Notamacropus eugenii: one gene and its partners. The protein of the gene in region 1 purifies or fractionates together with the protein of each later gene. This does not show direct contact. Links are inferred from orthologs where the notes say so. Each region holds a gene or a part of one and is shown on either strand. Other genes may lie near its edges. The genes, in order: TXNDC9, tubulin alpha-1A chain and tubulin alpha-1C chain.

What was found.
Region 2: the proteins of TXNDC9 (region 1) and tubulin alpha-1A chain purify together in Homo sapiens (affinity purification with mass spectrometry; 3 studies listed by BioGRID and IntAct, counting the BioPlex papers as one, with this or other methods). This does not show direct contact. The link is inferred for Notamacropus eugenii from reciprocal best matches to the Homo sapiens genes TXNDC9 and TUBA1A.
Region 3: the proteins of TXNDC9 (region 1) and tubulin alpha-1C chain purify together in Homo sapiens (co-immunoprecipitation; 3 studies listed by BioGRID and IntAct, counting the BioPlex papers as one, with this or other methods). This does not show direct contact. The link is inferred for Notamacropus eugenii from reciprocal best matches to the Homo sapiens genes TXNDC9 and TUBA1C.

The regions. Positions count from the first base shown.
Region 1 is NC_092876.1:406,847,560-406,857,651, reverse strand, and holds the start of TXNDC9 (thioredoxin domain-containing protein 9), read left to right. Parts: upstream 1-5,542; 5' UTR 5,543-5,809; exon of another isoform or gene 5,810-5,873; intron 5,874-5,981; exon of another isoform or gene 5,982-6,501; intron 6,502-8,460; 5' UTR 8,461-8,490; coding exon 8,491-8,679; intron 8,680-10,092. Other genes in the region: EIF5B (eukaryotic translation initiation factor 5B), read right to left, coding at 4,274-4,341. UniProt on the Homo sapiens protein: Significantly diminishes the chaperonin TCP1 complex ATPase activity, thus negatively impacts protein folding, including that of actin or tubulin.
Region 2 is NC_092874.1:221,085,086-221,094,787, reverse strand, and holds the start of tubulin alpha-1A chain, read left to right. Parts: upstream 1-5,622; 5' UTR 5,623-5,924; coding exon 5,925-5,927; intron 5,928-8,078; coding exon 8,079-8,301; intron 8,302-8,609; coding exon 8,610-8,758; intron 8,759-9,205; coding exon 9,206-9,702. UniProt on the Homo sapiens protein: Tubulin is the major constituent of microtubules, a cylinder consisting of laterally associated linear protofilaments composed of alpha- and beta-tubulin heterodimers.
Region 3 is NC_092874.1:221,229,691-221,239,889, reverse strand, and holds the start of tubulin alpha-1C chain, read right to left. Parts: upstream 3,704-10,199; 5' UTR 3,589-3,703; coding exon 3,586-3,588; intron 426-3,585; coding exon 203-425; intron 52-202; coding exon 1-51. UniProt on the Homo sapiens protein: Tubulin is the major constituent of microtubules, a cylinder consisting of laterally associated linear protofilaments composed of alpha- and beta-tubulin heterodimers.

The DNA of each region.
Region 1 (10,092 bases):
CATATTCCTTGAGGATAAAATACATATTACTTTTTGGTATTTAAATCTCTCAAAAATCTGACACTTGCTTCCCTTTTCAGGTTTATTTACAAATTAATCCCTTTCAGAAACTCTAAGTTTCACTAAAGCATTGCTGGTGGAGTTGTGAATTGATCCAACCATTTTGGAGAGCAGTTTGGAATTATGCCCAAAGGGCTATAAAAATGTGCATACCCTTTGACCCTGCAATACCACTTCGAGGGCTGTATCCTAAAGAGACTGTACAAATTGGAAAAGAACCCACATGTACAAAAATATTTATAGCAGCTCTTTTTGTGGTGGCAAAGAACTGGAAATTGAGGAGATGCCCATCAATCGGGGAATGTCTGAACAAGTTGTGGTATGTGAATGTAATGGAATACTATGGTGCTATAAGAAATGATGAGCAGGCTGACCTCAGAAAAACCTGGAAAGACTTATATGAACTGATGCTGAGTGAGGGGAGCAGAACCACGAAAACACTGTACACAGCTACAGCCACTTTGACAGACTTGGCTCTTCTCAGTAAGACACCTTCAAAAGGCTCAGGATGGAAAATACTTTCCACATTCAGAGAAAGAATTACGTGGTCTGAATGCAGATTAAAGGATACTATTTGCTCTCTTTTTGTTTTGTTTCTTCCTCCTAGTGGTTCATTCCATTGGTTCTAATTCTTCTTTGCAACATGACTAACATGAAAATATGTTTAATGTGAATGTATACATACAGCTTATATCAGATTGCATGCCATCTTGGGGAGAGGAAGGAGGAGGAGAAAATTTGAAACTCAAAAGCTTGTGGAACTGCAAGTTGTTAAGCAAAAATAAGTTAATTAAAAAAAAAAATCTAAGTTCCAGACAGACTGGTCTATAACCTGGTTTTTTATACATTCCCATTTTCCGCACAGGCTAACCTCCATTCCAAGAATGCATTCCTCCTTCCCTCAGACTCTTAAGAGTCCCTAACTTATAAACTAAATTGATACCTCCAATATGAGGTCCTTTCTAATCCTCCCAGTTGTGAGCACTCCTCAATAAAATTACTCTGCCTTTTTATTTACTTTGTATTTAGTTACATGTGTACACATTGTTTCTCACAAATATTATGTAAGTTCTTTAAAAATAGATATGAGAGGGGTTTTTTTGTCTTTCTATCCCTAGTGCTTAGCACAGTGCTTGGCATTGGGTATTTAATACTTTTGAAAGATTTCCTTTTTATTCACAAGGGTGAATAAGCTTAGAATGGCAAACAGCACATTACTAGAGCACCTGTAAGAGTCAAACTACCTACATAGAGAATAGGTTAAATAAAGATACAATTATGAGCTCAACTCTATAGATTACACAAAACTGATGACTGACCATACATGATAAACTGGAGCTTTCTACATTCTTTCTACTTAGTCACCGCCTAAGATGTCAACAGACAGGCCAAACTAGCTAGGAAGCATTCAGGGTCAAGCAGAAAAGGTAAAGTTGTGCTCTATCTTACCACACTTCAAAGTAAAGCGACTTCTAGATGAAACATTTTTGTTAGCTGTGCATAAATTAAATTATTTCTATGTGTAAGTAACTGCCATACTCATTTTTATGTTACTTTTGATGCACAATTTTAAAATGAAATACTCTAAGACAAAATAAGCTACTGAACCTTAAGAAAATCAATGACTAGTAATTAAGTAATGAATACTTACTTTATTATTACAGTAAAATGAAATTCAGAGTGGGAAAAGGCACAACTGGAATACATAAACTGAGAAAAGCCAGCTTTGCTCTGTGAATGACTGCAGAATGTAAGATGTACAACAAAATAAGAAGGATATGTGTAAGGTAAAAATAACAGAAATCACTCTTAACATGTAACAATTCCAGAAAGATAAGGTTGCTTTGTTTCTTTTTATGACCTATTTAGATACAATCTAGCTAAACAATGAGGCACATTGAACTTTGTGATTTGTACGGCTCATTAAAAAAATAGAATCCTACACTTGAATAGGCTCAACATCAAAGAGTCCTGGATGAACTAAAAAGCTACTCAGGGCACTGCCAAAATATGAATGAGTAAAATGTGATATTCTTTCTAGGGGCTTAGAAAGCAGGTTGATTACTTACTGCCTGTGTGATAGTGGTGGGCAAGTAATTTAACCTTTCTGGGAGTGGATTTTGAGTAAATCTGAAAAACAGAGATGGGATTTAAGATGAGATATTCTGTTTCTTCATCTACATGACCTCATAAGTATCTAATCAGGTACAGTACAGTTCTCTCCTGCCAGAAATTTGGTCTTCTAAGATTTAAATGTTTTAGAAGAAATTATTAAAGTGGGAATCTATCCTGTGGATTACAAAGTTACAGGGAAAAAAAGCAGAGAAGTGAACTCATTTTGGGACCAGCCTGGGCCTTCCAAATTTTCTTTCAAAATTTGCATTCCATTCATATGTGAAGCATTTAAACATATTCTAGCACTAAACTGCATGTAAACACAAAAAGCAATGGGAATAACACTCATCAGTGGCTAAAGTTTGCTACTGCAAACTTGCATCATCATCAAATCTTTAATCATACCACCACCAGTTATTTCTGTTAACAATAATTAAAAGATAAACATAATACTAAAGTTTAGCATATTGAGAATCAAAAGAAAAAGACACTAATCATAGTAGCATTTCTTCTGTTCTGGTTTCATAAATGGCCACCTTTCTTTATTATTAGTGTTTCTTTTACTGTTCCCATTATTGTTAATATGGTGGTAACTGAAATTAGGTCCCTTTGTAAATGATATTTCCAACTGGAAAGGAAGGAAAACTTCTACACAACATGTCAGAGACGCAGACTTCTGTATTTTAAACTAACCTAAGTATCACATGGAAGCACTTATTAGACATAGGTAAATATAGCCTGTCTCACTGTAGAGCTGCACACATCCCAAACCTTGTCAGTGTATATATTACTGAAAGTCCTTTTGCTAACCCTTCAAATCGGTAGAATTCTGCATACTGTTCTTTTTTTTGTATTTCATGACTTGAGAGTGGAATCTATCCTCTAAAAGAAATACTCTCTTACAGTTCAGAGCTGGAAACCAGGAGGCAGGATTGCCATCCCTTTGATATCACTACACGTGGTCTTTCTAGTCCCTGAATTCAAAACCCTAAGGGAGAGAAAACCAAATTCATATAGATTTCTAATAATTAATATTCATGGTTGCTTCATAATTTCCTCATGCCATTTCAATACCATATATCTGATTTCAAGTTACAACACTTTTCTAAAAACATCAAAGCTTGTATCTTGAACACAGCAATGAGTGAAAGTCAGTAGTCTCATTAAGTAACCTGTTTTCCACATGCTGCCTCAAGCTGAGGAGGAATTTCATGACAAGGAAAGATTTTTCCAGTGCATCTTCCATAAAATTAACAGACGCAGAAAGGTAAGACCGAGCTCTCCTTTCCAACACCTGGAATGAATGGTGGCTCGCTGCATACTGAAAGACACTCTAATGTTACTTACAAGAAAAGGAAATAATCGTCCCTACGGAGACTCCAGTGACTCCTCTCACGTGGTGTACAAACATTAGCAAAACCTCATACTAACGACAGAACCTTTCTTCATTAAAAACTAAACTCTTAAAGGAGCTGTTATCAAGAAACAATTTCTTTGCTCGGTCCTTCTCTTACCTCCTTTTTGAAGGGGCATTTCATAAGCAACAAAATCACAAAAAAAAGGCTGGTCCCAGAAGGAAAACTAAAAACCGTGACAAGCTGGATAATGAGACCATGAATAAGTTCGCTCTGAGAGGTATCTACACCGGACGATCGAAGGCACAGGAGCGTGTGTGTGACCAGCTCTCTCACAGGAGAAACACTAAAAGCTTGACAGCAGGATGCAAGTGCGGGTAGAGGAGGAGAACCCCATTTCCCTCTTTCCTACAAGCCCAGAGAGGTCCGGTAGAGAGGTACAGCTACGACGGAGAAAGGAAGGAAAGGGCTCGCCCGAGGCCGGCATCCTCCTTCCCCGACGCCGATGGTCACTCTCTCGGAGCCTCCGTGACCCGGCTGACCCCGGCCCACCAGCGGGCCCCACGCCCCTAGGTATCGCCTCGAGCCCCTCTCCACTCCCTCACACCCCCTCAACCACAAGGACTCAATCCCGGGGACCCTCCGCGCAGGTCGGGGCCCCTCCGGCTCCCAAGTCCCCATTTCCCTCCACCCCACCCCCACTCCCGGACCGTAGAAAATAAGGGCTGGGGGTGGAGACTGACCCCGGGGCGGGAAAGGGAAGATCCGGCCCTCCCCTCCGGGCCCGGCCGGCCAGTCCGCCCCAGCACATGGTGGCTTCACTTCGGCGGCCCCCGCCTCCGACCCCGGCTGACCCCGGGGGGCCCCGTCCTCTCCCCGGCGAGCCGGCAGGTGGGCGGGGGTCTCGTGACCTCCTTCCCCTCCTCAGAGCAAGACCGGTCCGCGCAGACCCCGCGCGCCCCCACCGAGCCGCCGCCGCCGCTACCTGTCCTCGTTCCTGTTCTTCTGCTTCTTCCCCATCGCGTGACAATGGCCTTCGCGACTCCAGTACCTTCGTTCAGCCCCTTACTGACCCACAGCCCCCTGGCTGGCCCAGCTCTCCGGCCTTCCTCTTCCGCCGCCGCTTCTCGGACCCGGCTCACCACAGACCCGAACACGGGGACAGGGCACATATGGTATGAACTCGCACAGCGCAGGCGCAGCGCCCCCGCCACCCTGGCGTAGGGACGCAAGGCGTCTCATAGAGTTCTACGTTTGAGGTAGAGCGTCCCCAGACGCCAGCGAGGATCGCTGGGTGAAGAGAGCGCATCCTACCGGTAGGAGTCAGAAGTGCAGAGTAGCGATTACATAGCTGGGTACCTTCCACTACAGAAGCCCCGTACACAGCTGTTAAATCTTTTCTGTGACTGTTCTGAGATGAAGTTCACATAATCCTTCCAAGTCAGTCCAGCCAGCGCTGGAGAGCAAACTTCCGGACGGTTGTTACATCACTTGGAACAGAAGAACTTCTGTGATCCATCTGGTCTTCGTTCCACTGTTTAACGTCTGTAATTCTGTCATTCTGGTCAGCACCACGTCCGACCTTTCTATGGAGGAGATCTAAGTTGGACACTGCACAAGGGTACATGATTTATGGAGCTACTCAATAAAAAAAGCGTATACTGAGCTTGTCCCCCAAAGAGAAAAGGTTGAGGTTTTTTTTTTTAATCCTGACTCCTATCTGGAAAAATAATACCAGAAAATATGTTCAAGGAGATCCATTTCATCTTTGTTATATAGTTTAGTATAGAAAATTCATCGGAGGACTATAGCGAAACGATTCAATAAAGCCAATGGACAACACCCCCAACCCCAAACGACTACAATTCCCAAAATGCCTTGCTCCTCCCGCCGCACCTCATACACTAAGGAGCCGTATTGGAATGCTTCACCCCGGAAGAGAGTCAAGAACCTTGAGCTTATGCGCTTGCCGTAGACAAACCCACCCGAGGCAGTTCCGCCTATCTTCTGGGAAACCCAGAAACCCAAGGGAGACGAGGGGGCGCAGACGAGCGGGAGAGCGCATGCGCCGGCGACGCTCACTCCCTCTCTTCTTTGGTGGCGGTAGGCTCGCCTCGAATGTGGAAAAGAGCCAATGAGGGCTTAGTGTTTGTAACTGGCTGGTGCCCACCCCCGCCGCCGCCGCTGCCGGAGACCCAGAAGTAGCCGTGACCTTCCGCCAAGTGCTCGCCACTTCTCGGGGGAGGGGGAGGGAACCGCACCAGTCGCCGTGATTTCGGGTGAGGTGGGCCTTGAGGCGAGAAAGCTAAACAGACGATACTAGTAGGGCGGCCGTAGCACGCGGTAGGGAACGAAGGGCAAGGCGAGGAGCGGAGGGGGCGGGGGTGGGGAAAGGGCAGAAGAGCGGGCTAGGCCTGTTGGGGGAGGGGCCGACGTCTCTTGTGCGCAATTGCGGACTGAGCTGCGCATGCGTCTTTCATGGCTTTGAAGCCGGGTGCTGGTGGGTAGGGGGTCGCTTGCTCTCCCTTCAGCTGCCCTTTTCCCTTCTTCGGCGGGGGAGGGAGTGGGGGTGGAAGCGAGATCTCGGAGAGGAATCCCAGGTTTTGTGGTTGTTTCTAAAGCTCTCGGGCCTGTCCGCTCCCCAAGACCGTCCCCACAGATGGGAAGTAAAGAAACCCTCAGCCTATTTGGGGACGTGCTGTCCTTCGCCTTGTGCCGCCCCCCCAAAAGCAAATGGGCCAGAGGGATTAGCGATTAAAGCTGGAAGGAAAGCAGAACTGGAGATGATCGTGATGGACTGTACACTTTTTCCTTTTTTTGATGGGAAACAGCACCCGCCCCAAAGCTTTTGTTCCTAGGTTGTAAAGCCCTCGGGTCTTGTGTTCACCGTCCAGTGACCGAATCCGAACAAATTCCAACCTGCAAATCCCAGACCATGCTTGTGCAGGGACTAAACTAGGCCATACTGAAGGTGATAAAAGGCCGCATTTCTCTATAAACGTTTTGTATTGTGAGCAGCTGTTCCTCCCCAGTTTGTCCGAATCAGGGAAACTGTTTAATTCAGACATTTATTAAGTACTTCCTATGGGCCTGACACTGAAAATACAAAGACTAAGGCTTGGGTGGGGGCCTTAGGAAGAGCTTCCTAGAGGAGATAGTCCCCTGGTCTGGGCCTGGAAGGGAAGTGTTTCTCAGAGATAGTGAAAGTGGATACTTACAGGCAGGAGGGATGGAGGGAAGAGAAAGCAAGATGAGATGGAAGAAATAGTAACAATTTGGTGGGAACAAAGTTGCCTTAAGGGAAATAGCCTGAAAGGAGTGTCAGAGTTAAGGATCTTTCTTTTAATCTTAGCCATGAGGACAACATTGTGTAAAGCACACTGGACTAGGATTCAGAAAACCTGAATGTGAGTCCTGGCTCTGCCACTGACTCCCTCTGTGCTTACTCAGCCTTTATGGTTTTCAGTTTTCTAATCTACAAAGCGAGAGTGCTGGACTAAATCACTAACTCATCCCTAAGTTTCTTTCTCCTTCCAAGTGTGAGGACCTTCTGCTGTGATCCTGAGGTTTTGGCACGGGGGAATAACATGGTCAGACCTGTGCATTAGGAAGATGACTTTGCAGCAGTTTGCAGGATCACTGAGAAAGAGAATTAATAGATAAAATTCAAGGAAAAACAAAGTAGGAAGATGTTAAAATAATCCAAACAAAAAATAATGAGAACCTGTGGTGGCAGTGGGAGTAGAAAGAAAGAAATAGAAGCAGGATTAGAAAGGTGAAACTGGCAGGCTTTAGCAACTGATTGGACATGATGGATGAAGGAGAGGGATGAATCAAAGATAATACCAAAAATGTTTACTATGAGATCACATTATAAAGATACCTTTTTTGTCTTTCAGCAAATGATCGTCTTTTACATAGAGCCTAAAGTGAATCTCACGCTGAATTCTGTTGTGTAATGAATTCTATTGTAAAATATACAGAAGCAATAATGCTTATAATGCAGATTATTATCATGGGGAATGTTTATTCGACTAACTGTTCTGTAGCTCTTTTTCTTTCACTTCTATTAGCCAATAGAACGTAAGCTTCATGAATAAAAGAACTATTTCCTTTTTCTTTTTGTACCCCTGGACCTAGAACCACATAGAAGATGTTAAAATGTTAATTGAATTGAATTTTCCTTTATAAAAAATATTGAAACTTTGACTAAAGACCTTCTCCTGTCAGTGCCCCATGACGTAGAGGTGAGAGACAAAGAGATTTCAGGCTCTGGGAGAGCCCTGCCAAGGTGGAAAGCTTTCAGATATCAACAACATACTATATGTCTGTCATCCTTGAACTGGTCTAGCTAATTTCAGAAATTTTATCACAAGATTGGCTGAAGGGTGATGGATTTTTCAGCCAGGGTAATTTTTAAGTTGTAGAGAAGTTGAGATTTGTTTTGGTGGCAGTTGTGCCCATTTTAATGAAATCATGCATCTTTATATTACTATTATTATATCTCAGACAATTCATTTCTAATAACTTTAAAATACAGGCCCCAGTTATTTCAGTACTTTATAACTCTGCTCTCTCAGCCCTTAGATTGTGAACAACGTAAGAGGAAAGACTATGTCTTATCTTAACATTTCCCCAGTATTTCCTCCAGAGCCTATAGTACAGTAGTCTGCATCTATAGAAGACACTTAATAACAGTGTCTTAGTTTTATTATGGGAAAAGAATCTGACTCAAAAGCTTTTTTTTCTAATCATCTTACTTTCTATGAGTACATACTTATGACCTCAGAAAGGAAACAACTAGTCAAAATCACCATGTCAGTTAGCTGTCTGCTGTTCAAACAATGTTACTTGCTGACATTATAGAGAATCTTAAAAAATATGGTTTCACATTAATCATATATTAATTTGTGTATTTTTATTTTCCTAGTTGTAGGAAGTGAACAATATAGTCCAAAAAATGGAAGCTCATACATCTGTTGACATGTTTGCAAAAGTCCTGGAGAATCAGTTGCTTCAGACAACCAGTGTTGTGGAACAGCAGCTGGACTCTGAGATTCAAAAACTGGATCAGATGGATGAGGACGATTTGGAGCGCCTCAAGGAGAAGAGACTGGAAGCACTGAAGAAAGCCCAACAGCAGAAACAAGTAACCTAGCTGCACTGGTTTCTGAAATTACTAAACAGTATGGTCTGAGTACCTTACATTACTGGAGTAGTTGCTGTGGGTTCTCACTTTTAGGGGTTGATAAACTAATATATCTTTGCCAATGTTTGAAATTTGTATGAAGCTAGTGTTTTTTTAGTTTAATTAGTGTAATAATCTGAATACAGTTTTATTTTAATGAGGTCTCCAGATTGGGAACACTTTGTGTGAAATCTAGGCAGAGTAATGAACTGGGAGTCAAAAGACCTAAATTTCATGCATGCTTGCATTAATCCTATTGTAATTTAGCCTGCCAGACTATAAAATGGGAGTGTGAATTACTGAAACTGTTTAGCCAGGGTGTTTTTAAATGAAAGGAGTTTGAGAGCTGTACAGGAAAAATTTTCAGTTATTCCCAGTATAAGGTTTGTCTGAAAGAAAAGTTATCATATATACCTAAAAAGTGTAAAAACAAATCAGGTCCTCAAGAAGAGGTTGAGAGGTAAGCAGCGTGATGGATAGCTGTCAGCATCTCTGTCTTCTAGGAGGTAGGTGTGAGTGTAGGTAAAATGTGTGTTGGAAAGTGAAAGAGCTGAACTCAGATATACTTTAATTTAGGCAATCTACAATCAGTGTTGTAGAACTAAAAGACCCACTGAATGTTCCTTAAAATTCTATGGGTTGCTATTTTATAATTGGAAAAAAAATTTCCATTAAAACACATCAGAACTACTTTACAAATTCTGACTGGTTTTTAGTTTATTGGTACTCCTAATGCTTATTTTTTTCTAAAAACACAGCAAAGGAGTTCACTATTTAAAGAATTCTTTTGTGAAGGGGAAAATTCTTCATAATGAGAAAACTATGCCCTAATTTCTCTGTTTTAAATCCACATTTTTTAATGGATTTTTTTTACAGCAGAGTATATTATGTACAGTATTTTGTAGCCTAAACTGCTTTTCCCTTTTTAGCACTGATAGATGAAGAGTAGTCAGTCAGTGCTTTAGTGATTTGAGCATTAAAGGAGCACAATATTGGGATTTATTAAAGTACATGTTCAGTTGGAATGTTGCATACATAAACTATTTTGAAGAACGTAGAATTGAACGTGAAGTTTTGTTAACGGAATGAAACAGGAAAATACTTATAAATATGATATACAAGTTGATACAGACTTTGAATGTCCTAAAAATGTTCAAGATGAAATAACTCAGATTGGTGTTTTTCATTTTTTTTATAATAACTGCTCAAATAATTTTTGTTCAAAAGCCAATTAGGATAGACATTGTGTTGTTAGGACAAAAGTCTGTTTGCACAAATATCTAAATTTATTTCATGGAGCAATTGAGTCTTTTCAAAGCTTTATTGCAAGTTAATGAAAGTAAAATTAAAGTGTATCTTACGAGGAAATAGGGA
Region 2 (9,702 bases), on another chromosome or scaffold:
CCCTAGTTTATTGTGATCAAATTCCCATGGAATTTTAGAGGTGGAAGGTCTAACGGTCATCTAATCCAATCCCTTTGTTTTATAGTTTCAAAGTATTAAATACTTCAATATTTCTATATTCCATTCAGGGCTAAGCCTGGGCAAAATTGGAAGGAGGTCTCAGCACCTCCCAGCCTCCTCTTTCACCCCCACCCTACCTCTAGTTTAAAATATGTTCTTAGAAAAGATCCAAGACCAATAATTTATGCCTTGAATTTAAATCAATATGTTGTAGCTCTGGGGATGAGGAAGATTTTGTACCTTGCAATTAGAGGAACTTTTGAGGTGGGAGAAATGCAGGGAGATCTCTCTAATCTTCATATCATGCTTCTTGTTTCATTTATTAGAATTATTATGTAGCTGGATATTGGAGTTTTTAAAATACAAAATATGACTATAAACTAGTAAGTGTGATTCCCTAAGTCACACAAGAAAATCGATCTCAATATTTTATGGTTACATCTATAGCTCTGTCTTGCTTTTTCAAATACATTACAAATTTCTCAATCATGTCTTTTACTTTTTTATTCTCTAGTGTGCCTAGAATAGTGCTGGATATCTGTGGTGCTTAATAAATGCTTTAAAAGTATGCAACACCCCTTCTGCGCTATTCTGACCAACTAATACTCATTGGTTCAAGTTACTACCCCAGGTTCAAGGTACTCTGTGCATCCACATGGTATTATCTTTACCTTTAAAAGTTTAACCAGCAAACAACCACAGTATGCAAGGGATTTTTCTGGTAGATTTAGTACTTCATTGCAATGCAAGGACTTAAAAACTTCCCAATGGATTCTTGAGGCAAAATGCCTTCCACATCCAGAGAAAGAACTATGGAATTTGATCACAGAATGAAGCAGACCATTTTCTTTTGTATTATGTTTTGTTTTGTTTTATGATTTCTCCCATTCATTTTAATTCTTCTATGCAACATGACTAATGTGAAAATGTATTTAATAGGAATGTACGTATAGAATCTATATAAAACTGTATGCCATCTCAGGGATGGAGTGGGGAGGGAGGGGGAAAAGAGGGGAAGGGAGAGAAAAAAATCTAAGATATATGGAAGTGATTGTAGAACACTAAAAACAAATAAAATAATTTAATTTTAAAAAAAGCTTAACCAGGAGACTCAATAATATTAAAACAAAGCCATTTACTGAGATGGCATTGTAAAAACAGTAGCTGTGAAACACTGCCCTCACAAATCAGGGTCATAGCAAAGGGCTATAATACCATGCATATCCTTTGACCCAGCAATACCACTGCTAGGTCTGTATCCCACAGAGATCATAAAAAAGGGAAAAGGACCCACATGTACAAAAATATTTTGGAAATTGAAGGGATGCCCATCATTTGGGGAATGGCTGAACAAGTTGTGGTATATGAATGTAATGGAATAGTATTGTTGCGTAAGAAATGGTGAGCAGGCAGACTTCAGAGAGGCCTGGAAAGACTTATATGAAGTGATGCTGAGTGAAGTGAGCAGAACCAGAACATTGTACATAGCAACAGCAACATTTTTCGATGACCAACTTTGACAGACTTAGCTCTTCACAGCAATACAATGATCCAACACAATTCCAAAAGATTCATGATGGAAAATGCTATCCACATCTAGAGAGAACTCTGGAGTCTGAATGCAAGCATATTATTTTCACTTTTTTGGGGGGGAGGTGTTTTTTCTTTCTCATAGCTTTTTCCTTTCTGTTCTGACTCTTCTTTCACAACATGACTAATATGGAAATATGTTAAGCATGATTATACATGTACAACTATATCAGATTGCTTACTATCTTGGGAAAGAGGGAGGGAGAAAAATTTGCAACTCAAAATTTTATAAAAAAATGAATGTTGAAAACTATCTTTATATGTAATTGGAAAAAATAAAATACTGTTAAGGAGAAAAAACCAAATTGGGGGAATATTGTGGGCACACACAAAGAGAACCTTAACAGAGAGGCATACAGAGAATACATGTGACCAAGACAACTCATGCTTCTAATACTGCAGGACCCTAACATCATTCCTTTTCTCATGATACTCTTACATTGTCCCACCCTGGGCATGGTGTTTCTGCAGGGCATGTTGCTTTGCTTGGTTCTTGGTTCTCTGGGCCTATTCCCTGCTGTGTGTCTGTGTGCTACTAAGCAAACAGCTCTGCTGTAAGAGATTTTTGTCAGTGGGAGTGGGGAGAGACATCCTCTCCTTCCTATCAAGAGGTAGATCTTTCTTCCATGGTTGCTCTCTTTCCAAATGCCACAGCCCACACTCATCAGAGTTGACACCTACCTTGACTCATTTCTTAGTGTAATTTGATTTTTAAAAGTTGGAGAGGGAGCATGGCCATTCATTCTGCCAGCCAATGCCTAGCTCCACTCTAATTTCATTGAGCTTGAAGGAAAGAGACTCACATTTATTAAGTACCTACTGTGTGCCAAACTCTGTAGAACCCTCCCAGGGAGACTGAGGACTGCTTCCCCAGGAATGAGGGCAGTGAGCTATGTGTCACATGTGGGTTGCTGAGGGATAGAATAGTTTCCAAGTTGTTTCCTACCAGAACTACCAAGTTATGCTTCAAGAATATGGCAATGCAAAAAAAATGGTGGAATCAAATACTTATTGAGCACTACCTATGCCTAGCCCTGTGCCTAATGTTTTGCAGATACCTATGCTCAGGGAAGGACCAGACGACCAATTGTTAGTGTAATTTTAGATATACAAGGTGACTCAAATGGGGTGGATGTCTTGTGAATATTGCAATTTTCCATGTTCTTTTCCATTGTTCTTTTTCCATGCCCTGACTGATGAAGGAATCTTTTCAACTTTGCTAGTCATATGTCATATGTAACCCTCCTTTTGGCTACCCCCTCCAACTCATACTCACTGGCTGGGTTGGGGGACGAGAGACCCCCCCCAACTTCAAGGTACTCTGTACATCCACAGTTCTAAAACTATAGATCATAGGCCTATATCACAGATCTAGGTTATGAAATAGAGATATTTCTTTGGATGTCATTTAAGACCTTAATACCTTATTGCCTCCTTGTACCTTATACTCTGTAACTTCATCAGCTAGGCTAGAGGGAAATCAGGGGCCTCATAATCAATTCTCCTCTCACTGTAATATTATAATAAAAATATTTCAATCATTAATAATGTTGTTATAAAAATCAAGTTAAAACTCACAGAGAGAGGTTCCCTCCTGCTTCACTTGTTCTACTTACAAGCATGAACCATAGAATTTAGACAAAGGAACCTCAGAGATGATGCAGTTCAACCTGCAGATAAAGACAATGAGACCAAGAGAATTTAAATTACTAGCCTAAGTTTACATAGGTAGTAGTAGACACTGCCTGTCCTTAAGCAAAAAACAAAATCTGTTAGTGCAAGTTGGAAACTGGCACCAAAAATTACATAAATTTACACAAATATTTTCTTTTCTTTTGCCACAATCTGCACGTTGAATAAGTGTGATGAGGAGAAGCAAATAGAATAGATTAGATAGTTCCCTGCTCTACCATTTAAATATTTAATAGCCACAAGCCTCACTCAAATGGAGCCTCTTCTTGACCTAGATCTTACTGTTACTAATACGCAACAGAAAGTTCATTTACATAAAGTATATAACAGCTCTGAGATAAATTTACAAAGAAGTCATTTCTATGAATTCTCCCTCCTTTTTATTTAGTTCCCTGTAAACTGCACGAAGAACTGGGAAGATAGTATGGTTATTCATTAATCTTTTGTATCACATAACTAAATCAAATTCAGGGCGGTGCCCCTTTATCCAGACAGGAGACTGGAACTGTACGCAATGCAGTAGTTCAATAGCATTGGAATTTGTCACTCTCAGAATTATTCAAAGAAACACCTGAGCCAAAAATTCAGCGAATGTGTATCCTTTAATTTTTATTCTAATTGTCACTTGCATATCTGGGATAATAGGGGATTCTATAGCTTTCCCTCAGTCTTGCCTTTTCACTAAAACCTAGCTAAAGACAAAGAAATGAAACCAAAATTAGATGTTGAAGTTGTTCTTTTTATAGAATCTCAAAGAAACAGATAAAATAAACTTGTAGTGTTTTCCTATATGTAGAGAATTTGACCTGATGAAGAAAATCTGTGAACTACAAACTAGAAAAATAGCTGGTTGCCTTTCTTAGAATACAACCTGCACCAGCTGTCTCTTTTTGGCCCTTCTTTCTTCTCTCTATGCCACACCCTGCTTCCTAGTCCTTGGGGAATGAATGGGGTCTGCAGAACATTGTACATGGTGACTGGAGATCCAATATGTCTCTGACAGAATAAAAAAAAACAGTATCTGCTCAAGAAGAAAGTATGGTGAGTTGAAGTGAATAAAATAACTAACCTCTTTCCTTTTTTATTTTTCATCTGCATTGTCAAAGTAGTACTAGTTTCAACATTAATTCTGCATTAGCAATATTGACAACATGCCCTTTTTACAAAGCCTCCCCAAAAAAGGAACAGCGATCTGATTTCTGAAAAGAAGCAGAGACTGTCTGGGTTATTTATGAGGCTTTTGAGCAATTCAGAGTCTATTGTTCAAAAGCAATATGTACCTATAATACCAATAGCCAACACACATATCCAAGGCACAACACCCCTCCCCCCCATACATAGCTAATTCATAGGAGCTACAAATTTCAGTGTATTGAGATAACTGATTACATAAATTCCAAGTTGTTCGTTCTTGTCTGGTAAAGTATTCTTTTTTCATCCCACCTCTTGTCCTGTATGGTGGTCTCAGTTCTCCAGTACCTATTATTTTCCCAGCAAATAGAAGAATAAACGTTAACTGTCCACACAGGAGAGATGTCATGGCCAATCATTCTTTTATTTTATTTTCTTCAGTGGTGAATCAGAAAAGGTTGATTTCTTTTAAGATGCAATAAAACATACAAAATATGTTCAAACAGAGTGCTGTTAAAGGAACATTTTCTACTTAAGTAGAAACTATTCCCTTTTCTTCCCATTTCAAAATATGTTCAGTAAGCCTAGATCATTCTCTTATAAGACTTTTTTTTTGGTACAGGTTCCTGTGGAGACTTCTTATTTGGTTCTTAGATTAAATTCTTTTTCCATTTATGCTTGTCCATCATTTTCCTTGGTCATAAAACAAGGCTCAGAAATACCTTGGAATGGTTCGGAAATAAATCTGCAATAAATTTACAGTTAGAGATGCAACTTAAAAACAAATAATCTTCTTTCCCCAGGTCCTCTCAAGCTTCATTTCACTTCCTCTCACACTTCATTTTTAAAGCTTACAAAAAGGTTTCAACCTTCACCCTCACCTAATGGCTATTGCAGTTTATTTCCTAAAAGAGGGAAAGAGGCCTGAGGTCACTTTTTTTGGTTGTTCATTATTTTACTTCAACACAGACATTCTGCTTTTTAAGTAAAGAACTAATCCTCCTACAAAGGTGTAGTTTTGTGGTTTAATCAGTATAAACTCATCCAACCACAGTTTTCTTTTTTTCCCCTTCTTCCACCCCCACCCCTCTCCTGCCACTCCCTATGATGGATGCTTGCTTGGCTAACTGCTTTGCTTGGTCTCTTTGTCTGAAGGATGCAAACAGTCTATGGATGCTAGAGAAAAAGGGGTGGGGAAGAGATTACCTCATCCCATGTCGTGTGCACCAATCACAATTCTCTGGTCTTGGCTTCTCCGGGCAGATTGAGGGGTCTGGACCAACTGGAAAAAGCCCTAGCCCATCCCCATGGTGACAGAATTGTATATAGGGAGCTGTATTGGACCATGTGCAGTAGGTTCTCTTACATCGACCGCCTAAGAGTCGCGCTGTAAGAAGCGTCAACCTCTCTTCTTCTTCTCACCCATCGACAGCAGCCGCAAAGCAGCAATCATGGTAAGGTTCCCGATCTCCTTTCTTATGTCCTCCCTAGGGGATATTAGCGCAGTGAAGGTTGTTGGTGGTGCTGCTTGCGAACCTCAAGTCCATTTTCTTTGCAGCTTCTTAGGACAGCTGCTTTGTTTGTGCCTGTATCAGATTTCTTGCTCTTAAGCCTTAGTACGCAGACATGGCGGTGCGGACCAGAATTGGGGGCAGGCGGCCGAAAAACCAGAAGGAAGAACAAAGGAGAAGGGAGGGGTTTGGGAGTAATGGTTAGCGACATTTCAGTGCCGCATAGGGCTGGTCACTGCAGGCCATCTGTCTGGGATGATGCAATGTCCTGAGGCTGGGAACCGGCGATAGTTCCACTGCCTCATGTATATTTATGTGTTCGTGTTACTTTCAGTCTGGCTGCTCCCATCCCCCTCCCCTTTGACTGCAGTGTTGGGTGGGGCGGGAGTGGGGTGGGGTGCGGGGGATAGGGACTGGGTCATTGGAGAGACTAAGCAAAGAACAGGGTTTATAAAAACCAAACCAATAAAAATGAGAATATGTCACGTAAAAAAAAATACACATTTCCCCCGTAAAGTGCTAGTTTCTGTTAGTACTTTTGGTAGGGGGAGTAAGGGTGGAGTAGAGGGCGGAGTCTCGTCGGGTTTTGTGTGTGTGTCTATCTCCTTGGAATCGCTATGCTCTTGAGCAGGAAATCTTTATTATTATTATTTGTAAGGGGGAAAAATGTCTTTTAATAAATTTGATTAACAATCACATAAAAGTAGGCTTTTTGAATGGCTGAGAGGATTGTGGATTTTCTCCTCCCCACCCAAAGATAAAAAATAAAAAAAGTTGCGAAAGGTCTGGGGAGATAATCTCAGTTCAGCCTGGCAAACCCCAAGGGTTTACTGCCTTGACAACTCACCCAGAGTGAACAAGATGCTCATTTTTCAAGTCAGGGTAAAGTGCGGTCCTTTCAGGACCCTGGGGAGCTGTCCTGTCTCCTCTTCCACCCCAGCAAGAAATCAAGTCAGTGAATAGACAGTAGAATGGGTGCCCTAAAGAAGATCGAGACAAAGAGAACTCTCTAGTGGATGTGATCAGAATATTCCACAGAAGGCAGGATATATTGAAATGCACCAGAAATTTGAAACAAACCAAACCTTGTGAGATCTTGGTGGGTTGTTAGGCTTTTTTTTTGTTCTTTTGATGTTGTTTCAGTTTGGGAAGGATTCAGGAATTCTGATTTTGAAAGGCTGTCTTTTTCTAAGCACTTGCAGAGAAATGTTTGGAAAATATTACATGGAGAAAATTAAAGACAAAACAATAAAATACTGAGGTCGACAAAGAAGAATTACATCTTTCTAGTTTCCTCTTTTCTGGCATATAATATGGAGACCACCTTTTGTTCTGGTGTCACTTCATTGATTCATTTCAATTATTCACACACAGGGTCCCAGAAGGAGTCAGAAGAGAACTGGCAAAATAATATAATGAGATCATGCAGCCAGTTGCTGGAATTAGAGATGGCTATGTTAAATAATACAGTAGGTGCAAAGCAGACACTAGGCAGAAAAAATGCAGCAATGCAGCAAAGGGACAGCTAGCTTTTATTGATTTTAGCTCTGATTGGGTCGAGTGCTCCCAGATTGGGTGTGGTCTCCCCTTTTCAGCAATAAAGCAGATGGCTATATTGAAATATCAAAATCCTGCTAAAATGGGGGTCCTGCTCTTAAGGAGAAAGGGGTAGGGTGGAAACTAAGCTTTCTTAGATCTTGGGAAAATATTTCACTTAAGAAAAATAAAGTGTGGTAGACCAATTATCATGTAATCCACAATTAAACTGAAATCCATAAACCTTTGACTTGTGTTTATTCTCTAAGAAAATATTTCTAACATTTCCACAAATTATTATTTTTATATGATTTATTCACAGTATGAACAATAGATTTGGACAATGTGCTGCTGCAGCCAACACAAAGCATTGTTCAGGCCACGCCCAACTATAACCCTTATAGCAGATTGCTTTCTAATATGTATATAATAAATGTCAATTTCACAGGTGAACTTGAAGAATAGAAATATATTTTTATAAAAATAACAGAAAAGTTATATATCTTAATCAAGTCTAATTTTACAATTTCTTCTAATTTTTTTTTTGTTTTTATGCAGCGTGAGTGCATCTCTATCCATGTTGGCCAAGCTGGTGTCCAGATTGGCAATGCTTGCTGGGAGCTGTACTGCTTGGAACATGGTATCCAGCCTGATGGTCAGATGCCAAGTGACAAGACCATTGGGGGAGGAGATGACTCCTTCAACACCTTCTTCAGTGAAACAGGAGCTGGCAAACATGTCCCCAGAGCAGTGTTTGTAGATCTGGAACCTACTGTCATTGGTATGTTTAATTACAATTCCCTAAATCCTCTTGAAATTTGAAACTGTCAGTGTCAATTTATAATGAACCAATCCTAAAATTAAACTTTTATTTTGTGTAATTCCATTTGTCTGAGATGAGACTATTTATAGGCTTCTTTTCAGTTTCTGACCATGTAAAATCTTGAGGAAAACTTTTAAAATGTAACAAATATCTCCTTTTGATTGTTGACCATTTGTCTTTACCTTAGCAGTTAGTAAGAGAAGACAGAAAGACTCTTACCTTGGTGATTTTACACCTTTTTAATTTTCTTTCTTTCTGTCTTTCAGATGAAGTTCGCACTGGAACCTACCGCCAGCTCTTCCATCCTGAGCAACTGATCACTGGCAAGGAAGATGCTGCCAATAACTATGCCCGTGGGCACTACACTATTGGCAAGGAAATCATCGACCTGGTTCTAGACAGGATTCGGAAGCTGGTATATTTCATCTCAAAATGGTTTTGGGGGGGAGGAAAGAAGAGAGGTGGCTCCATAACATTAAAAAAAGCTCAAGTATAAAACAGAATGAGGTGATTGACTCTCTAGGTTTTCTTTTTATCAGTATTATAGACACAAAGGGGAGAAATAGATTGAATTACCATTATCATTTTATAAAAATTAAAAGTTTTTCAATTGAGAAAAATGCTAAGTAAATACAGCCAAAGAGAAGTACCAGGGGAAATTAAGACCATGTGAGTTCCCCACATCAAGGAAATTACCTATCTAAGCACCCTGATCCCCAATAGAGATAAATAACAGAAAAATAAACATTTTTAGAATCAGATCTGTCCCTCCAAAGGAGTAGACATAGTCCATTAAAATGCCTTCTTATGTTTACAACATAACAAGCATCAATGATCTGTTTCTTTGTTTCCTTTCTAACAGGCTGATCAGTGCACAGGTCTTCAAGGCTTCTTGGTTTTCCACAGCTTTGGTGGTGGGACTGGCTCTGGTTTCACCTCTCTGCTGATGGAACGTCTGTCCGTTGACTATGGCAAGAAGTCCAAACTGGAGTTCTCCATTTACCCAGCCCCTCAGGTTTCCACAGCTGTAGTGGAACCCTACAACTCCATTCTGACCACTCACACCACCCTGGAGCACTCTGATTGTGCCTTCATGGTAGACAATGAGGCCATCTATGATATCTGTCGCAGAAACCTTGACATTGAACGCCCAACCTATACTAATCTGAATAGGCTGATAGGTCAAATTGTGTCCTCCATCACTGCCTCTCTCCGATTTGATGGTGCCCTGAATGTTGATCTGACAGAGTTCCAGACCAACCTGGTGCCCTATCCCCGTATCCATTTCCCTCTGGCCACATATGCCCCAGTCATCTCTGCTGAGAAAGCCTACCATGAGCAACTTTCTGTAGCAGAGAT
Region 3 (10,199 bases), on another chromosome or scaffold:
TCAGCTGCTCAGGATGGAAGAGCTGGCGGTAGGTTCCAGTTCGAACTTCATCTGGAGGAATAAAAAAGCAGCCCTGCTTTAACAGTGTGGTAACTCCGACTAAGAACCAAGGGTACTAAAAACAAAAAAACCTCAAAAAAACAAACCATCACTAGGAATGTTCACCTTCATCTGCATGTCTGCAAATGTAAATTGAACTCACCAATAACAGTTGGTTCCAGGTCGACAAACACAGCACGGGGAACATGCTTGCCAGCTCCAGTTTCACTAAAGAAGGTGTTGAAAGAGTCATCTCCACCCCCAATGGTCTTGTCACTTGGCATCTGCCCATCAGGCTGGATACCATGTTCCAGGCAGTACAGCTCCCAACAGGCATTGCCAATCTGGACACCAGCCTGGCCAACGTGGATAGAGATGCACTCACGCTGCAGAAAACCAAGAATACAAATGAGCCAGGTGGAACAGATAGCTAATGTATTCATATCTACATAAGTAATGAATTAAGTTACAGCACAACCACTCCATAGGACATACCTACCTTACCTGAAGTTTAAGTGCACTACAAACCAAATTCAGAGATAATTCTTTTGGGGAAACATATGAGAATTCATGACCTAAGAAATCTAGGGACAAACATGGGTTGAATCAAAGTCAGGAACCTGCCAGCCATTTTAGAATATCCCCAAAGCTCTATTCAAAACTATTTTCCTTCTATTCTAGGGAAATGAGTAAGGCGTCATTCCTAAACTGCTTAAAAAAAATCCCTCCCCTTTTCAGTTTGTATTCGTGCTTTTTGTGTGATTATGTAACTTCAGTTTCAGATCATTCTGGGTTCACTTTAATCCTATTCTTTAAACCCCAGAGCTTCTCTCCCCTCCTCCTTTAAAAACCAGCTTAAACCAGCAGCAAGCTAGAACCACATGACTCAAAGAAACTGCCAGATAAGCAGACTAGCTATATTTTAAAATCTGGTCAGAGGCAGCTTTTTTAACCTTGTAGAAGACTTCATCTATGGTCACTGCAGCATTTACTTTGGCTCTGCCAACTTATGGAAAAGAATTTTCTTTTTTTTTGCTTTCCTATTTTCAATAGAAGAATCCACTCTGCCCCCCAAAAATATTTCTGGAAAGTCTACAGCAGGCAGGCCTTGGTTCACAGGGCACTGACTATCACCGACTTCCCCAGGAAAATAAACATATCTAGCTCTCGGAAAAAAAAAATTCTTTTGAAAAGTATTTAGAAAAACATTTCCTATTACACATTTATACAAGTAGTGGTATGGCGTAAATTAGAGTCTTTATCAAAATGATTTTTAGTCCAACTCTACAGGGGATACTTCATTATAAACTAGATTATCTAAGGATCTGGCACTGTACTTTCCCCAAACTCTCTTACACAATAAAAGCTCCTCTTCCAAGGTTTTTTAATGGAATGTTCAAAATTCTCAAGAGTGAATAGAAAAAAATTAAATTCTAAGTTATTACAGGTTGTGTATCCTAACTTCTAACTAGGAATTTAAACACCCTTATCATTTGTAACCTTTGCTTTATGATCATTTCTTCCCAGCTAGCAATCTAACATTATTCATAAAACCATAGTTATCTGACCATGTCAAGGCCCCAAATTACCTGTACCCACTTGCCCAGCTGTAGGCGGTGTGACTGTTTGTTCTAATGAGCTCATGACTATTTACTGGTGCATGATGGTAACTTAACTGGACTTTGGAAAAATCATACAGCTCATGACATGCTAGTTAGAAGATCTAAGATAAATGAGGGCATTGGATTACATTAGCAGGCAAAAAAAACTAAGGATCATAGAATCAGAATACACACAACTGTATGCAGACAGTGTGAGCAACCCTTTCACAGCTTCACCTATGATGAAATTGAAGCTTAGAGAAGTTAAATGATTCATCCAATATCCTTACTAGTTAGTTGCAGGGCCTAGACTGGAACCTTGGCCTCCTGATTCATAAATAATTATAACATTCTCTTCTCCGGCAAACCTTTATTTACCTTTTCAAGTGAGCCTATCTACTATCTGATCTCATAATCACAAAAACTGACTATGTCTGTGATGATTCCCTCCCTCTCAATAAGGTTATTACTCAGTATAAATTATAAATTATGAAAGAAAGTAAGCCTCCTTGGGAAATTTCCTCACACATCTTGTCTGCTAAACTCCTGGGAAAGCTGACAAGGTCAAAAAGACTCACCTTCCCATGACTACCTGGGGGGAGGGTGATTGGTTATTAAAAGTTAGGTCACATGATAAGCCTATCCTTACCAGTAAGACAGTCATTTCCCTAATAAAACCAAGGCCAGGCCTGTTTTTTATAGCAGTACCCTATATTCTTTAACATACAACATGTTAAAATTAGAGACCACACTCCTTTCATTCCTACTTATTCTCAGAAACGCTATTTTGATACAAGTTAAAAAAGTGGTCTCTTTGGGGGATTAGTTTTCTCTATACTGCTCTGGATAATATTTAAAGATTCATTCCAACAACCCAAGTTGTTCAACCACTAAGCTTTAACGTGATTTTCCTTTGGAAAAGCAATAGTATAGTTCAAACGTTTGAAAAATGGGATGTTATCGCTGTAATCGGCTACTTAATGGCCTTACAAGAAAACACCCTTTAAGAATCTTCTTCAAGTACTTGTTTCCACTCCACATGTTTCGAACAGGTGAGAAAAGTAGGATTAAACACGTTAACACTAGTTATCTGTCTAGGGCACAAGCTCCGTCATGGATGTGTGACCACATTTCCCCCGTCTACTCTGCCTAAGCCATGGGAAACATTGTTACCCCGAACTTCGCTACTTCCTTCAGTAAAAGTGACTCAGCACCAAGTCACAGGGAAATAGACCTAGGGAGTCGGGGAGGGGCTCAACACTTCAGAGCGCATTCTGCCTCCCAAGACCACAAGCAGCAATCTTTATCTTCAATTTGGCTCATTTGGTTGCTACAGAAAGACCAGCTTATTCTGATCGTGGGGGATGGGAAGAGAAAAAGAGAAATGCAAAGTATTTTAAGCTTTTTAAAGTCGATCTCAGAAGAGTGTGAAACATCTTACGAATCAGACGGACCATCCCCTTTACTAAACCTAATTTTAAAACTTGTCCTTCAGACTTTGGGGCAAGTTTTCTCTGACAAATCGATCCCCCCTTGTCACTGTGGGCACTTCCACTTCCAAGTACGGAAGCTGTTTATAATTCTGGTCCCTAGAAGATAAAGTTAGGGAGAACCAGTGGCTTCATTTCCGAACGGCCCAAAGCACGGAGCTTTACGCTCTCCATCCCCAGGACGCACTCAAAGCACTATAGGAGCGCAGCCCAGGAGGCAGACGGCCAACGCGGGAGATCTTCCCCCAAGCGTTCCAAGGGGCCAAGGTGCCACGTGCGCCCCCATCCCGCCAAGTCCCAGGGCCCCTCTGGTCACTCTACTCCCTCGTAAACGTGGCCAACGCCGGCTCCTAGCCCCTCTCCTGGTCACATGACCCTAAGTGTCCCGGCCCTCAGCTCCCGCGCTCTCCACCAGCACCTGGAGCAGCCGGCTGGCTGGGGCCCCATACACTCACCATGATAAAGGTGTGCAGGGGTCCGCTGCGCTAAGAAGAAATGGAAAGGAGGACGACACAAGTTTCTCACCGACCGACCGTTAGGAAGTCTCCGGGAGAAAAGTTAGTGAGAAGCGGGGCTCACGGGAGGGGCTTTATATAGCCCTTCCTGGACCACGTGTTTGGAGGGAGTCCCTAGGACCTGATCCCACCCCCTCCTTCCTTTCTCTAGCTTCTCTTCCACCCTCCCCGCCCTGCTTCCATCCCAAACTCCACCCCGTCCGGTGCCTGCCACCCCACCCTCCTCTCGGACTCTCATTGGTGAGTTCGAAAGTTCAAACCAAACCTTTTTGGAAGAAACCTGAGGTGTGGGGGAGGGAAGGAGGAAGTTTGTTTAACCCCGATGATCCTTGAGTGGGGGGAAAGTTTGGGGTGAAGAGAGTGGTTTATCTGGGGAGTTGGGAAGAGAGGGGGAAAGAACAGCATCAAGTGGTTGAAAAAGAACGGGGGCTGGGAGTGAGTAGGTGAGATAATTTGGGGGGAAAAGAGCCATACGTTTTAAAATTTTAAAAAAGGAAGTAAGCCAAACGATGAGAGAGTGTGGTGAATGAAGGTGGGGAGAAGGGGAGCCATGTGGTACTGGAAACAGCTGGAGGAAAAAAAAGCCCCTCTCCTCTCCATCCATCACCTTTCCCTTCCTCCCTGCTTCTGGCCTCCACTGACTCACTGCTCGGCCCACTCCCTTGGCTCCGAGCCAGTGAACATTTTCCTAACTCCCTACAAGGTAATCTCTGAGAGCCGCCCTGCCAGCTAGGGGAAGGTTTCCCAGTGACTAGTTTATTCAGAAAACACAGCCCTGCAGATGGTCTGGCTGCTTTGACTTTTCATTCAGAGCCGGCTCTGTGTGCTGGACTAAAAAGGGAAGCTGCCTTGTTTACTTCCCTGTATGAAGTGGACTAGTACAGTAGAGGCCCTTAGTAGGACCCAGCCATTGTAGCTGCGAACTTGGCTGCTGCAGGATCCTTACTTGGAGTTGTAAGTTTCTCTGCTGCTTTGTTAAGCAAAGAGCAAAGCTGTTTAGAGAAACCATTTGGTACAAAAAGCTTAAACAGGGCCTTTCGGCTCTATTTTCAGAAGTCTCATTTCTACAATTGTCAGATGAGGAGGTAGGTAGTTTAAAGATTCCAAGTTCACACCTTTCTGACAGCTCTTCCAATTCCTTATTTTTAAAAAAGCCCCTTTTGTAACACAAAGCATTGTATCATCACGTTCCAGAAGATGCTAAAACCTCTTGCTGGTGCTCCCACGCAAACAATTTCTTTTTTATTTCTTTAAATGTTTTGTGTATCAGAATTCTCTTTTCTTTCTTTACCCCACCAGTTTTCTTTCTCTTGGGAGATTTTTTTTTTTAAACTCATAAATGAATTCCTTAAATGTGAGAAGTGTCTAGCTGTAGAAAAAATGCAGTGCACAGAAAAGTGTTTTGTGTTTTTGCAGAGTAGTTAACAGAATTTTAGAGATGGAAGCAATCAGAGAGAATGAAGGCCTGGTTGATCTCTCAAATCCCTTCCAACCATAATATCCTATAATTTTTCCAATCACCTAGTGCAACCCCCTCATTTTACAGGCAAAGAGACAGGTTCAAAGAGTGCAAACTATTTCTACTTAAGTGGCAATCACTAACCAGTAGGGTTTGGGGTGGGGTTGGTTTTTTTTTTTTGGTTGTTGTTTAGGGAACATTTTCCTAAATGTTTACTTTTCAAAAATGTTTACCTTTGCTAAATTTCATTTTCTTAAATGCTTGCCTTTTTTTAGACAGGTAAAATGAAATAGAAAAGGTATCAAATAAATCCAGAGAAAAAGTAAAAGTACTTACAATGTAAGATCTCTGGCAGCTAGAATTGTTTTGAGTTTGGTCTTTTCTAGGCTCAGAATGCTTGACATTCTGCCTAGCACATAGTAAATGCTTTAATGCTTGCTGAATTTAACTGAAGTAAAAGTAGATATAAAAAAGGTGAGCAGCATTTAAAATGCTTATGGAATTCATATTAAAATTGTTCCATCTATATACTGTTCCATACTATATACATAATTGAGATCCTTAAATCCAAGTAACACCAAATGCGGTAGACCTTTAACTTAGTTATAGGAAAAATGATAAGAGTTGTCACCATGGAATAGTGGGTAGAAAGCTACCCTGGAAGCCAGGAAGAGTTCCACTTCTGACACCTAATGACCATTTGTAACCTCAGGCGGAGTCACTTAATCTCTCAATGTTCTGGGCAACTCTCTAAGACTGGGTGAATTGTACCTCTCTAAATAGAAGCCCATAGTTAAGCAAAGTAGGTGAATATAGTGGCAGTTTGAGAATGTACATCTCTAGTTCATCATTTCTTTGTCAAGGAATAAGAGGCATATATTAATTATACATATTAACATTGTATGTATGTATATAACATATATGAGTTATAAATTATATATATTAACATATAATTATATATATTAACATCACTGACTTCTTACTAACTTGTACTTCAGTGGAAGAGGGAATTTTCTCACCTGGCAGTTAGTTGATGAGGTAGGTAAGTAGAGTATTAGGCCTGGAGTCAGGAAGACCTGAGTTCAAATTCTACCTGTGTGACCCTGGGCAAGTCACTTAACCTCTATCTATCTTCGTTTCCTCAACTGTAAAATGAGGATACTAATAGGACCTACTTCCCAAGGTTGTTTTGTGGATCAAATGAAATGTTTCCTTTCTTATGCTTATGAACTTGAAGATTCAGTCCCTATTCTTATAGGTCAAATAGATTTACAGTTATATTTTATAGCAATTCTTCCTTTTGGGTTTTCATTCTAAAAACATTTCTGTTTGTTTCTGTGTTAAGTTTTGTACATACCTGATGGGAAGGCAGCTTTCAAGATTTTGGATGCTAAAAGTTTTATTAAAGCAAAAATAACTAGTAATTAGTTACTAGTTATTATTAGTTATAGTAATAACTAGTAACCATATTTAAACTTGCTGCCTCCTACTGGAAGTTGTGACTATTGTTTCTTTTCTCTTTTATTTAAAATTTTATTTTTTATTGTGAACTTAATCATCAACAAATATAAACATTTCAACATACAAGAGACAAGAAAGTCTTGGATAAAAAGCTGAATTTCTCTTATGTACAATTTTTAAAAATGATAATATGAGGTAGTAAATATAATTGGTCTATTTATGTCTCTGTACTTCTTTTCTTCTGTGCATTTAAAAATATCTTATTGATGTTCTTTGTTTTCCATATCTATCTTTATGAACTAATTTACCGTATCTTACTTCTCCAAGTAGAAACCTGTAGTCAAGCAAAATAAATGACCATATTGCTCATGTCTGGGAATCCACATCTGATTCTATACTTCTTATCCATCACCTTTCTGCCAAGAAATATGAGTTTTATCATCAGTGTTTTGAAATTGTCACTGGGCATTACTTTACTTAGAGTTCTGAGATCTTTTAGACTTTCTCCTTGTATTATTATGGTCATCAAGTAAGTTGTTCTCTTGGTTTTGCTAATTTCACCATGCATCCCTTCACGTTAGTTTTTTTAATTTGTTAGAATCCTTAGAACCCATCACATTAAATTTTTGTGGTGTAGTTTTGTACCATGCTATATTAATATACCACATTTTTTTCATACCTTCCCTAAATGATGGGCATGTGTTCTGTTTTTGGTTCATTGCTAGAGCAAAAAGTGTTGCAGTAAGCATTCTTGAACACACGAGTCTTTTCCTCTGTACATATTTGGCCTCCTTAGGTGATATATCCAAAAGTGGTATTTCTGGATCAGAGGGTATATACAGTTTAGTGACTTTGGGGACATAATTCCAACTTACCTTCCAGAATGATTGAACCAATTTGCAGCTCTATTAACAGTACAAAATTTGTCTTTCCTTCCACAAATCCTCCCAAAATAGCAATTTTCTATTCTCCTTATCTTTGCCAACTTGGTAGGTGTGCGGTAAAACCTCAGAGTTATTTTAATTTACTTTTCTGTTATTAGAGATTTGGAACATTTTCATATAGTTAAGATAGTCTTCCATTCACTTGAATACATGCTGATTTATCCAAGACTATGCATTTCCTTTGCTTACTAATCTACTTGGGAAAAGCTTTTATTCTTATGTATTTTTATCAGTCATTTTTTAATCTTGGATGTTAGACCTTTATCAGAAAAATTTGTTGGAGTGATATTTTCCTGCGTGTTTTCCTTCTTATCTTTATTACACTGTTATTTTACTTGTGTAAATGTTTTCAGTTTTATGTTATCATAATTGTCTATTTTATTTTTTATCAATACTTTTATCCTCTTGTTTGTGTAAGAATTCTCCCCTTGATTATAGTTGGGAAAAGTATTCCTTCCTTTCTCTAAAAAAGAATTGATATGACCTCACATAACCTAGGAAATGAGGAAATAATGGAGGATAATGTCAAGGAACTGTGATATGAGGAGGGTGGCAAATGGTCTTGATTTTTTTTCAATAAAATATCTCTGGAAAACTACTTGTTGATGTCCCCTAAGACTTTGCCCTAGGCCCTCTTCTCTTTTTCCTTCATGCTATCTCTCTTTGACCTTATCAGCTCTCATGGGGTCAGCTATCATGTATGTAGATGATTCCCACGTTTATATGTTCAGCATTAGTCTCTCTCCTGAGCTCCTATCTAGTTTTTTGAATTGGTTGTTGTAAAGGTATCTTACATTTAACATGTCCAGAACAGAAATTATTTTCATTCTCCCCTAAAACCTGGAGTTATTTGAACTTCCTGATTATCATCTAAGGTACCACCATTCTTCTGCTGTCTCCTAGCTCATAACCTGGCATCATTCTTCCTCCTACTTAATACTATTTTTTTCCCCAATTACATGTAAAGATAGTTTTCTACATTCACTTTTATAAGATTTTGAGTTCCATTTTTTCTCCCTCTTTCCTTTCCCTTCCCCCTTCCTTTCCCCTCTCCCTTCCCCAAGATGGCAAGCAATCTGATATAGGTATATGTATAATATTAAACAAAATATTAAACTTATTTCCACATTAGCCATGTTGTGCAAGAAGAATCAGAACAAAAGGGGAAAACCACAAGAAAGAAAAAAATAATATGCTTTGATCTGCATTTAGACTTCATGGTTCTTTCACTGAATGTAGACAGCATTTTTCATCATGAGTCTTTTAGAATTGTCTTAGATCATTGTATTGGTGGGAAGTTTATCAAAGTTGGTCATTGCACAGTGTTGCTGTTACTGTGTACAGTGTTCTCCTGGTTCTGCTCACTTCACTCAGCATCAGTTCATTTAAGTCTTTCCAGGTTTTTCTGAAGTCTTCCTGTTCATCCCTTCTTATAGCACAATAGTATTCCATGACATTCATATACCACAACTTGTTCAGTCATTCCCCAATTGATGGGCATCCCCTCAATTTCCAGTTCTTGACCTCCCTGACATCATTCTTAACTTCTCGCTCAGACTCACTCTACAGGTACAATTTGTTGTCAAATCTTGTCATTTATACTTGCACAGCATTTCTTCATATGACTGGCATCTTTTTTCCACTCATACAACCACTACTATAATTTAGGGCCTCGTTGCTTTTTGCCTAGTCTTATTGCAATAACTTTCTAATTGGTCTCCCTGTCTCAAGCCTTTTTCTACTCCAATTCACCTTCTATCATATGCCAAAGTGATTTATCTAAAGAGTAGGTCTAAACATTTTCTCCCCTTTCTCCTCCTAGTAAATTTCAGTTGCTCCCTTTTGCCTCCAAGATCAAATATAAAATCTTTTGTCTGGCATTTTAAATGGTTCTTCACAACCTAATCCTTTCTTAACTTTCTATTTTTCTTATATTTTCTTGCCTTCCCGCCACATGCCCCCAAATCCCTTTACACTGGATTACTTGTTCCTTGCTCAGAATATTTCCTGGCTTCCTTCAAGACTCAACTCAAATCCCACCTTCTATAGGATACCTTTCCTGGTCCCTGAGGCTGCTAGTTCCTTCCTCTCTAAGACTACTTTCCATCTATACCTAGTTATTTTCACATTTATCTTCCTCACTAGAATGTGAGCTCTTTATAGGAGGGTGGGGAAGAGATAATGACTGGTTTTACCTTTCTTTGAATTCCCAGTGCTTAGCACAGTGTCATGCACATAACTTAATATATGCTTGTTGACTGGCTGGCAGTAAAATACTGTAAGCAGTATTTTTTCCTCCTTTAATTTCGAATATCTGGATTTTGGCTATGATATTCCTGGATGCTTTCAGCTTGGGATTTTTTTCAGAATGTGATTAATAAATCCAGTCTATTTTCATCTTGGCCCCCTGGTTCTAATGGAAGTAGTTTTCATTTGAGTGAATTATGATATCCAGGCTTTTTATTTGGTCAGTGGTTTTTAGTAAGTAGTATTTTTTTAAATTATTATTTCTCCTTGACTTGTTTTCCAGGTCAGTAGTTTTGTTTATTTGTTTGTTTTTAATCGTAAATACCTTATATTTTATCAGTCTTCTGATTTTGTTCTAATTTTTCTTGTGTTGTGGAGTTATTTATTTCAGTTTGCTTCATTCTGTTTTACAAAGAGTCCACTCCTTGGGAGTAGATTTTCTA